Lonchura striata: one gene and its partner. The protein of the gene in region 2 interacts with the protein of the main gene of each other region in a biochemical or structural test. Links are inferred from orthologs where the notes say so. Each region holds a gene or a part of one and is shown on either strand. Other genes may lie near its edges.

Region 1 (3,917 bases), on a different chromosome or scaffold from region 2:
GTAACGGGACCCTGGATCAGGTGAATTCCAATGCAGGCACCTGTTCCTGGATCCTGGAAGTTCAATTCTGTCTCATGGCACTGCCCCACCCAGTAAGCCCCACTCCAAATTCCTGCTGGTTAACTTGCATCACTTGGCACTGTTGTTTTCAACATCCAAATAGGCTCTACACAATCTGAAGTACTTTAACTTCATCTTTTGAGGTCCTTGATGTGTTTTCCTCAAGAAAACGGTTACAAAATATTTAATAACTCTATGAGTTTTTAAACTTGCATAACTGTGTGGAAAATAAAAAGATAATGAAAGATCTTGACTTCAGATTTGACTGAGTACTGGCTTTCAGCACTGCACTCCCACTTCATTCCAGCTCACCAATATCCTTGGAAAAAATCTAGTTCTGAATTCTATTCCCAGCCTGTGCCTCTTTCAGTACTTTTTTCCCCTCTGAATTTCTCACTCCAAACTCTCCCTGCTGACAGCAATGTCCATGGACTGGCACCATTGTCTCTATGAGAATGGTGCAGTGAGGACCTCAAAGGTGCTCTGTACGTATTCAGCTATCCCAGTGAGCCTGAGTTTCTACTCATATTCTGCACTTCATCACTTACAGTTTGGGCTTTGATGTCTGTGAGCTGGTGAATAGTCTCTTCAATTTTCTGTTGAGCAGCTTTTTGCTGTTGTTCAATGAACATCAGTGTGTTTCTCTCCTGTCTTTCAACATATTCCTTCATGCAACAGAAATCTTTAGTAATCTGGCATTTGATCTGAGATGTATATTCCTGAAAGACAGAAAATATGGAGTTCATTGTGTGGTTAGGAAAGATGCACGAAATATGATAATTACTGTCCCATCTAATGTGCTCTTTGAGTGACCCCTGCAGACCAAAAAACTTTATTCAAAGGAATGAAATATATTTGATACTATCCTGCATTACATACAATGAGATTTGGGGCATTTGGATCGTGACTATTTTATGGCCAGTGGACTCTGCTTGACAACTCAGAAAGTTCAATATTCCCTCTTATTATTATTTGTAATTTGCATCTAAGTGTACCAGAATAATTCAGGCTACTCCTGGGAGAAACAGAAAAATGCAACAATGCACAACTCCAGTGGCTTTTGTGCCAGCCAAGACACAAATAATGCAGCTGATGGCATATATTCATTCTCATCAGCAAAAACAGGATTATGACAGAAAAGAAGGAAACAAAAAGGCGGATGGATTCCAGCTGTGAGCTGGAAGGCAACCCTGCAGTCAACATCTTCAGCCCATAACAGTGGAAAGAGAAAATTACTGTAGGTGATGAATGTACAGTGTGTACCTTTGTTCTGTTGAGATCTTTCCTCAACAGGTGGATGGTCTCTGCAGTTATTTCTTGTTGCTTGGAGCTCTCCCATATCTCTTCCTCCTTTAAAGTGACACATGGAACTATTTATCTATAAAAACCTCAGAGAAAGCATGACTAGGCTAAGCTGCAGGACAATAAAAATTCCCTACATGACTTACATTAGTTAAGCAATCGATGTTTGAGGAATCGTCTGAAAGACACAATTCTGACTAGGATAATCACAATTAAGTCAACATCAACAGTCACCAATTACTTATATGTTCAGCTGTAACTGTGAGCTTTAATATGCTCTTAGCTTGACTGAAAAAGATATATATGTGCTAAAACAATTAAGGTCAACACGTTTTTCTCATCTCCTCCTCTGGGAGTCGTTTTAAGCAGAGATATAGATCATGAACCTTTCCCATTTCGCGCCATAAAGCTGGGTGGAGCTGTAGCACTGTCGTGTCCTTTCAGCAGTCTCCAACGCAATGTTGATGCAGTAAGTAACACCCAGCACAAAAGAAGTCACTTACTACTATTGTGCATCAGCTGAACGCGTACAGGTATTAGCTCTCCTAATTGTGTCAGACACCACCAAGGAGCCCCAGCACTGTCAGCCGAACCCATCTGCTCCATGAGTTCTGTGCCATGGGACGGAAACCCGGGCTGTCCCAGAATGTCGCGGGCAGGAGTCCCCGGGAGCCGGGGGATGCGAACTCGGAATGCCCCCGGGGTGTCGCGGAGCAGCCCCAGGATGTCGGGCGGTGAAGCTCCCGGGTGTCGGGGAGCCCCGGGCTGCCTCCGGCCGTACCTTCTCCCCACGTCCCCGCCCCGCCGAGCTCAGGTCGTTGCAGGCAGCAGCTCCATAGGCTCGCGGCTCCTCCTGCGCTTCCAAGGTGTCCCTCAGCTCCCGCGGGATGAGGCCGAGCAGCGCGGCCAGCTCGCGGTTGGGCCGCAGGTGCTGCGGCTCGAAGGCGCAGCGGCAGAGCGGGCAGGCGGCGCGGCGCCGCCCCGCGCAGTACCGGAGGATGCAGCCCCGGCAGAAGCTGTGGCCGCAGCCCGTGAGCCGCACGGGCTCCGCGAAGAGCTGCAGGCAGCAGGAGCAGTGCAGCTCCAGGACGCGCTGCAGCCTCTCGAGCTCGATGACGGCGCCCATGGCCCGCCCGGAGCGCGGCGGCCGCGCAGTTCCGATTTCCCCGGGCCCCTCCTCCGCTGCCGAGAGCGCCCCGGCTCTGCCCGCCCTGCTCTGCTCTGCCCCGCTCCTTTCACGTGCCTTGGTCGCACGGTTTGGAGTGCGGGTGGAAATGGACTTTGACGCACAACTCTCAAGGGCCTGGCCTTCACTTTCGTTGACTGTCCAAAAAAAGTCCCCGTTATCTGCACAATTTCATTTCCTCCGTGACTTTCCCGATTTTGTAATAGTGAAAGTTGCTGACATGGGCAGTCTGCTGACCCAGCCGGAAGAACAGTGCCACGGCACAGCACAGTGCAGACCTTGTCTGACTGAAGTCCAGGCTACTGGGGGGACCAAACCCTTCTGAGGTCATCCCCAGCTACTCAGGTAATCTCAAAATAACAATTAACAATGAAGACCGGCATTGTTCATCATACAAGTCAAAAGCTGCTCTCTGTTGATTTCAGGAGCTGCAGGATTAGGCTGTTTAATAGAAATTGCTGAACCACCATGTCAGCTAGAATGAACGGGGTTGTGTGGGGACACAGCCTGGAACACAGGAAGTTCATGGGAGCATATCAACACAAAAAACTGCTGCACATTGCTCAGAGCTGGATGATGAGCTAGCTGAGAAAGGCAGAATAATGAACCACCTCAATTGCTTTGCACTACTGGGCGAGTGGGGGTGGAGAGAAAGAAGGATTAGTGTCACTAATTCCTGCAAATATTGGCACTTCTCATTTCTGCAAAAAAAGAACTATTTACAGTATCTCAAGACCAGCTGGCAATTGTCAGCAGAAGGTGGAAGCCTCACCAGAAACTTGGTCTGCAAGACTTCCTCTTGATTTGCAAAATGAGGCTATCTGTAAAGAAGAATTAAATGTGTGAATGACTTGCTGCTTGGTAGAACCAGATCTTAGACTTTGTCTTGAGGCATGGAACACTCAGTGCTCTGTGTCAGCCAGTGCAATCTCCATCAGTTCCTGCACACAGTGGTACCTGATGAGAAGGCTCCCCTCCAACACCGAACACCAGTCCTCATTCATGGAGCATTTGCAAGCAAGTCACTGAAGAAATACTTTTAAAACTTGTTTTTGCCTTTCAACGTTCAGTATAATCAAGCTCATTAAGCTCCATCTGTTCCTGGGTGAGGCAGATCAATGCATGTTCATCCTTTACTCTCAATGTATTCACTGGGGCACCATGTGGAGTTGTGCTTTGGAAAAAAATCATTAGATGTTGGATTTGCCAGTCACATAAACACCAAACAGTAGAGACTGTTGAAAGCAAGGAGCTAGAAGAGTCTGTGTGATTTCATTACAGGAGTGATCCCATTACAGTATCCTCTACAACTTAAACTTGGCTTGGTTTTTTATTGTGCCAGAAATGTAGTGCTGTAAGAAACATTCAT
Region 2 (3,917 bases):
GCTGGACTATAAAAATAGCTAGGTTATTTGTTGAATATTTATAAATGGTGTGAAACATCACAGAGCTATTCTGTCAATTTCTGTCTGGAAAAGTCTCACTAATAAACTCTATCTGCCATAAACCTCTGAGGCTTTCTATTTCAGAATAGGAAAAGAAAAAAATTATATAATTATGGCAGACCTGTGGCCAGCCATCCTCCTCACCCAGCCACTTGTCACACAGGCACTGATTCATCCCACAAGAGAGGGAGCCAGCACTTCTCTGAAGAAAAACTAGGCAAATACGAGGATTTTAGCATACCTGCAGGATTTCATCACATTCCCTCTCTATCAGGCATGTGTTTATGTATGGCATGATTGCTACGGGATCAATTTCCAGCATTGTTGATTCTATCCGCTTCAACAGCTGCCTGTGCAGCTCCAGTTTTTCCAGTTTGCCAAAGTCCCAGTTTTCAATTGCTTCTGCCAGTCCAGTGTAACCTTTCAGGTAAAAAAAGACAAATCATTACTGTGAATTCAATCTCTAGCTAGAATAGGTAGGAACAAACTGAAAAAACATTTTCTCAGCCACACTGGAGAAATTAAAATTGTTTTGTCCTGTAAATGATAAAAATCTAGGTGAGGCACATACAATTTTTATCTAGTAAGTTACTATTTTCCTTTTTAGAACTTGTATGGCCTAATATGAAAAACCTATGCTGAAAGACCAGTAGCACCTGCAAAAACAAGACAGAGCCACACTATGTCACAGGTCATATCATCACATCACCAAGAAACTATATCCACTTCTGTCTTTCAATCATACAATCCTTGTAATTCTTGCATTCCATGATACTCTTTCACAGGATTCCCAGAGCAAAGAACACTACACAGAATCACAAGATGCTCTGGTGGTCTTTTATTTACCTGCATTTTATCCTTCACTCTTGTCCTTGGCTCCACCCTCCTTCAAAAATCCCTACTGTACTGGATTCAAGACAGTCACTGACTGAAAGCAGTACAGACACCTGCAATCTAGACAGTCATCAAACAGCTGCAAATACGGTCCTGGAACAGACAGCAGCAGGGAAGCATATTTTAAGGACTTGTGTGATTTGCTAAGTAGGCTTCTGAAGTGGAAAAAAGCAGATCAGGGTCCCAAAGGAACTTGTGGGCAAAAAGAAGGAATTTGCCTAACTTCTTATTTCCTTTTAGAAGAGCAGGAGTGGTGTAGATACTTACCACCATAATGTCTTTAGTCTAAGTATTACTTATCCCTGCATCTGCCAAAAAGAAGAGTAATTCTAAATTTTAGTCTCCGGCCCAATTAACAACTACTTGGGATAGCACTTTGAATCAGCAGGCTAACTGTCTTAACTTTTTGCTGAACACTGAACATTACTAGCAGGCTCAAAGTAGATAGTTCTTCAATTCAGAAATCAGGATTATCACAGACTGGTAAAATGTTGCTCTGGACTTAGGACTTGCTTTAAGGGATGAGTGGGCCACATCCCATATTGTAATATTTTTTCACTGAGATAATTATTCATAATTAATGGTGAGAAAATTAAAATAAAAGTGGGGCTCAATGTATCTAATAAATCACCAAAAAGGATATATGATACAATATACTCATATAGAAGAAAGCTGGAAGATGCTGCTAATTTAATACCTTCACAATCTGTTCTCTTCCATTTAATAAAAGAAGTTGGATTAGGAATTTACACATGAAGTAGTTATAACTACTATGGAACAATTATCCTTATAAACTACTAATGGTTACTTCTTGAAATAGAAGACTTTCAATGCCAATAAGTAACTTTTAAAATTTTTTAAAAAGTCATTTAAGACTCTCGTTGAGTGAAGTTATCCCACGATTCCAGTCAATTCCCACACACCTGAAACCCATTTGCCTTTCTGCTTCAGAGGATTTAGCCTCCTTTCACTGTATTCGGTGAGAACAATAGCCGTCTTGTTTCTTCTCTAAAGGCTCAGAGACAGGCAAGTCTCCTGCCAATGAGGCTTTCTCCATCCTCAGAATTATTAAAGCTGCTTCACCTCCCAACAGGCTTGTTTCCAGACTCTGTCAGCTTGCCTTTTCCTACGGCATCTGAGCTGATGTGACTGGACGTGCGGCTGCACCGAGGGCGGCCGGAGCGGCCCCGCCGGTGCCGGGAGCGCCGGGCGGCTCCGCGCAGCCCCGCCGAACGCGGGCGGCAGTGCCGGACAGGGGCGGCGGACAAAACCCCACCTGCTGCAGCCAGAGCATCCTGGAAGCCCCGGAACCAGCCCTCCGCCTCCAGCAGCAGCACGGCATCCAGGAACAGCGCGGCGGCCGCCGTCACTCCCTTCTCCTCCTCCTTCCGGACCCTCTCCTTCACCTCTGCAAGAACCAGCAGAGGCAGTGAGGGCAGCGGGAGGGGGCGGGGGGCGGGCTGGGGGCAGCGCCGCTGCCGCTCTCACCATCGGACAGCCACTCCGTCATGTTGCTGAGGATGTACACGGGGTTCAGGCTCCTCTCGATGTAGCGCCTGTAGCACCGCAGGTTCTGCTTCTCCTCCGCCGTCATGGCGAGGCCGCGGGCGCACCGCCGCCGGCGGTCCCGGTGGCGGTCCCGATCCCGGTCCCGGTCCCGGTCCCGGTCCCGGTCCCGGTCCCGGTGCCGGTCCCGGTCCCGGTGCCGGTGCCGGTCCCGGTCCCGGTGCCGGTGCCGCGGCCCCTGCTGCGTGCGGAGCCCGCCCCTGCCGTGGTGCAGAGAGACCTGGTAGGGAGTGAGTGGGAGCCGCCCCCAAGCACGGAGCGACGGGAAAAAGAAACTTCACCGCGGCTGGAGAATAGAAACTGAAAGCAGCTGGGAAAATGGGCGCTGCTTTCCTCTTGCGTCTGTCTTTAGCAAAAGAAAAAGGGGACTGCTGCCCTCACCCCAACTAATCATATGAGCATGCACACAGTTGTGACCAGCCCGTTTCTGCGGCTGCCAGGGTGAGAAAAAGCATACCGAAGAAACAGGAGTAAATGCACAGGTCTACCTCCTCTTCCCTCTTGCCCCCAGAAAAAGCTGAACGAACGGGCTTCCATCCTGTTTTGTTTCGCTTTGTTTTTTGGTGGGTTTGTTTTTTTTTTTTTTCTTTTGTGGTGGTGTGTTTGGGTTTTTTGTTTTTGTTGGTTTGGCTTTTTTTTTCTTAAGATAGAAGCACTTTTAAAAGCATTTAGAAAATGGATCAGGCAGGTGAACATCAAAGGAGAAGGCTTACCAAAGGAACAATCCTGTTGCAGGGGAGAAAGCACCCACAGTCAAAGTGCTGCTAAACATGACAGCTCCACATGCAAGCGTCCCTTTCACCATGTGCTGAGTGGATGTGTCATACACAAATAGACAACTGACAAGTACTGGTCCAGCACAAGATCATGCTTCCCAAAGTCTGCCAACACAAGACCTCTGAGTCATGGGCTTGTAGTGGACAGATGGGGTAGCAGGGGCAGAAGGAGGGGTGAGATAAGTAGAAGATAATTTGTTCACTGTAATATGCTTGCTTGTCTTAGTTTGCATAAGAATGTACTGTGGTATGTTAACCTAATTTGTTTTGCATAAAATAGTGGCTAAGAATGTACTAGTGTATCTTTGAAATGCTTATTTGCTTACAAGGTGATAAAGAAGTTGAGATTAAAGTCCTGGGCATGTGTATATCTGGTCTGCTTGCTGTATCTCAAAAGAAGAGACTTAGAAGCTATCACAACGACCAGACTCAGACTACATTTGGAGAGTCACGTCTGCAAGGAGAAAAGGGGGGATAAAAGGAAGGTTGGGACAAAACATTTTTGCGCGCCGTTGGTAGAGCAGGAGATTCCCCGGCCGCCCAGCGCTGAATTTTTGCCTGCCTTACTCGCTTGCCAATTTTAAATAAAATTGCTTTATTGAATTAAGACACTTCAAATTG

Evidence for each region.
Region 1: of the proteins of RIGI (region 2) and RNF135, one has a biochemical effect on the other in vitro, tested with the Homo sapiens proteins (6 studies listed by BioGRID, with this or other methods). The link is inferred for Lonchura striata from reciprocal best matches to the Homo sapiens genes RIGI and RNF135.

Annotation. Positions count from the first base shown.
Region 1 is NC_134621.1:8,121,993-8,125,909, reverse strand, and holds the start of RNF135 (E3 ubiquitin-protein ligase RNF135), read right to left. Parts: upstream 2,605-3,917; 5' UTR 2,489-2,604; coding exon 2,144-2,488; intron 1,411-2,143; coding exon 1,324-1,410; intron 780-1,323; coding exon 609-779; intron 1-608.
Region 2 is NC_134642.1:47,535,453-47,539,369, reverse strand, and holds the start of RIGI (antiviral innate immune response receptor RIG-I), read right to left. Parts: upstream 2,736-3,917; 5' UTR 2,549-2,735; coding exon 2,443-2,548; intron 2,363-2,442; coding exon 2,231-2,362; intron 481-2,230; coding exon 302-480; intron 1-301.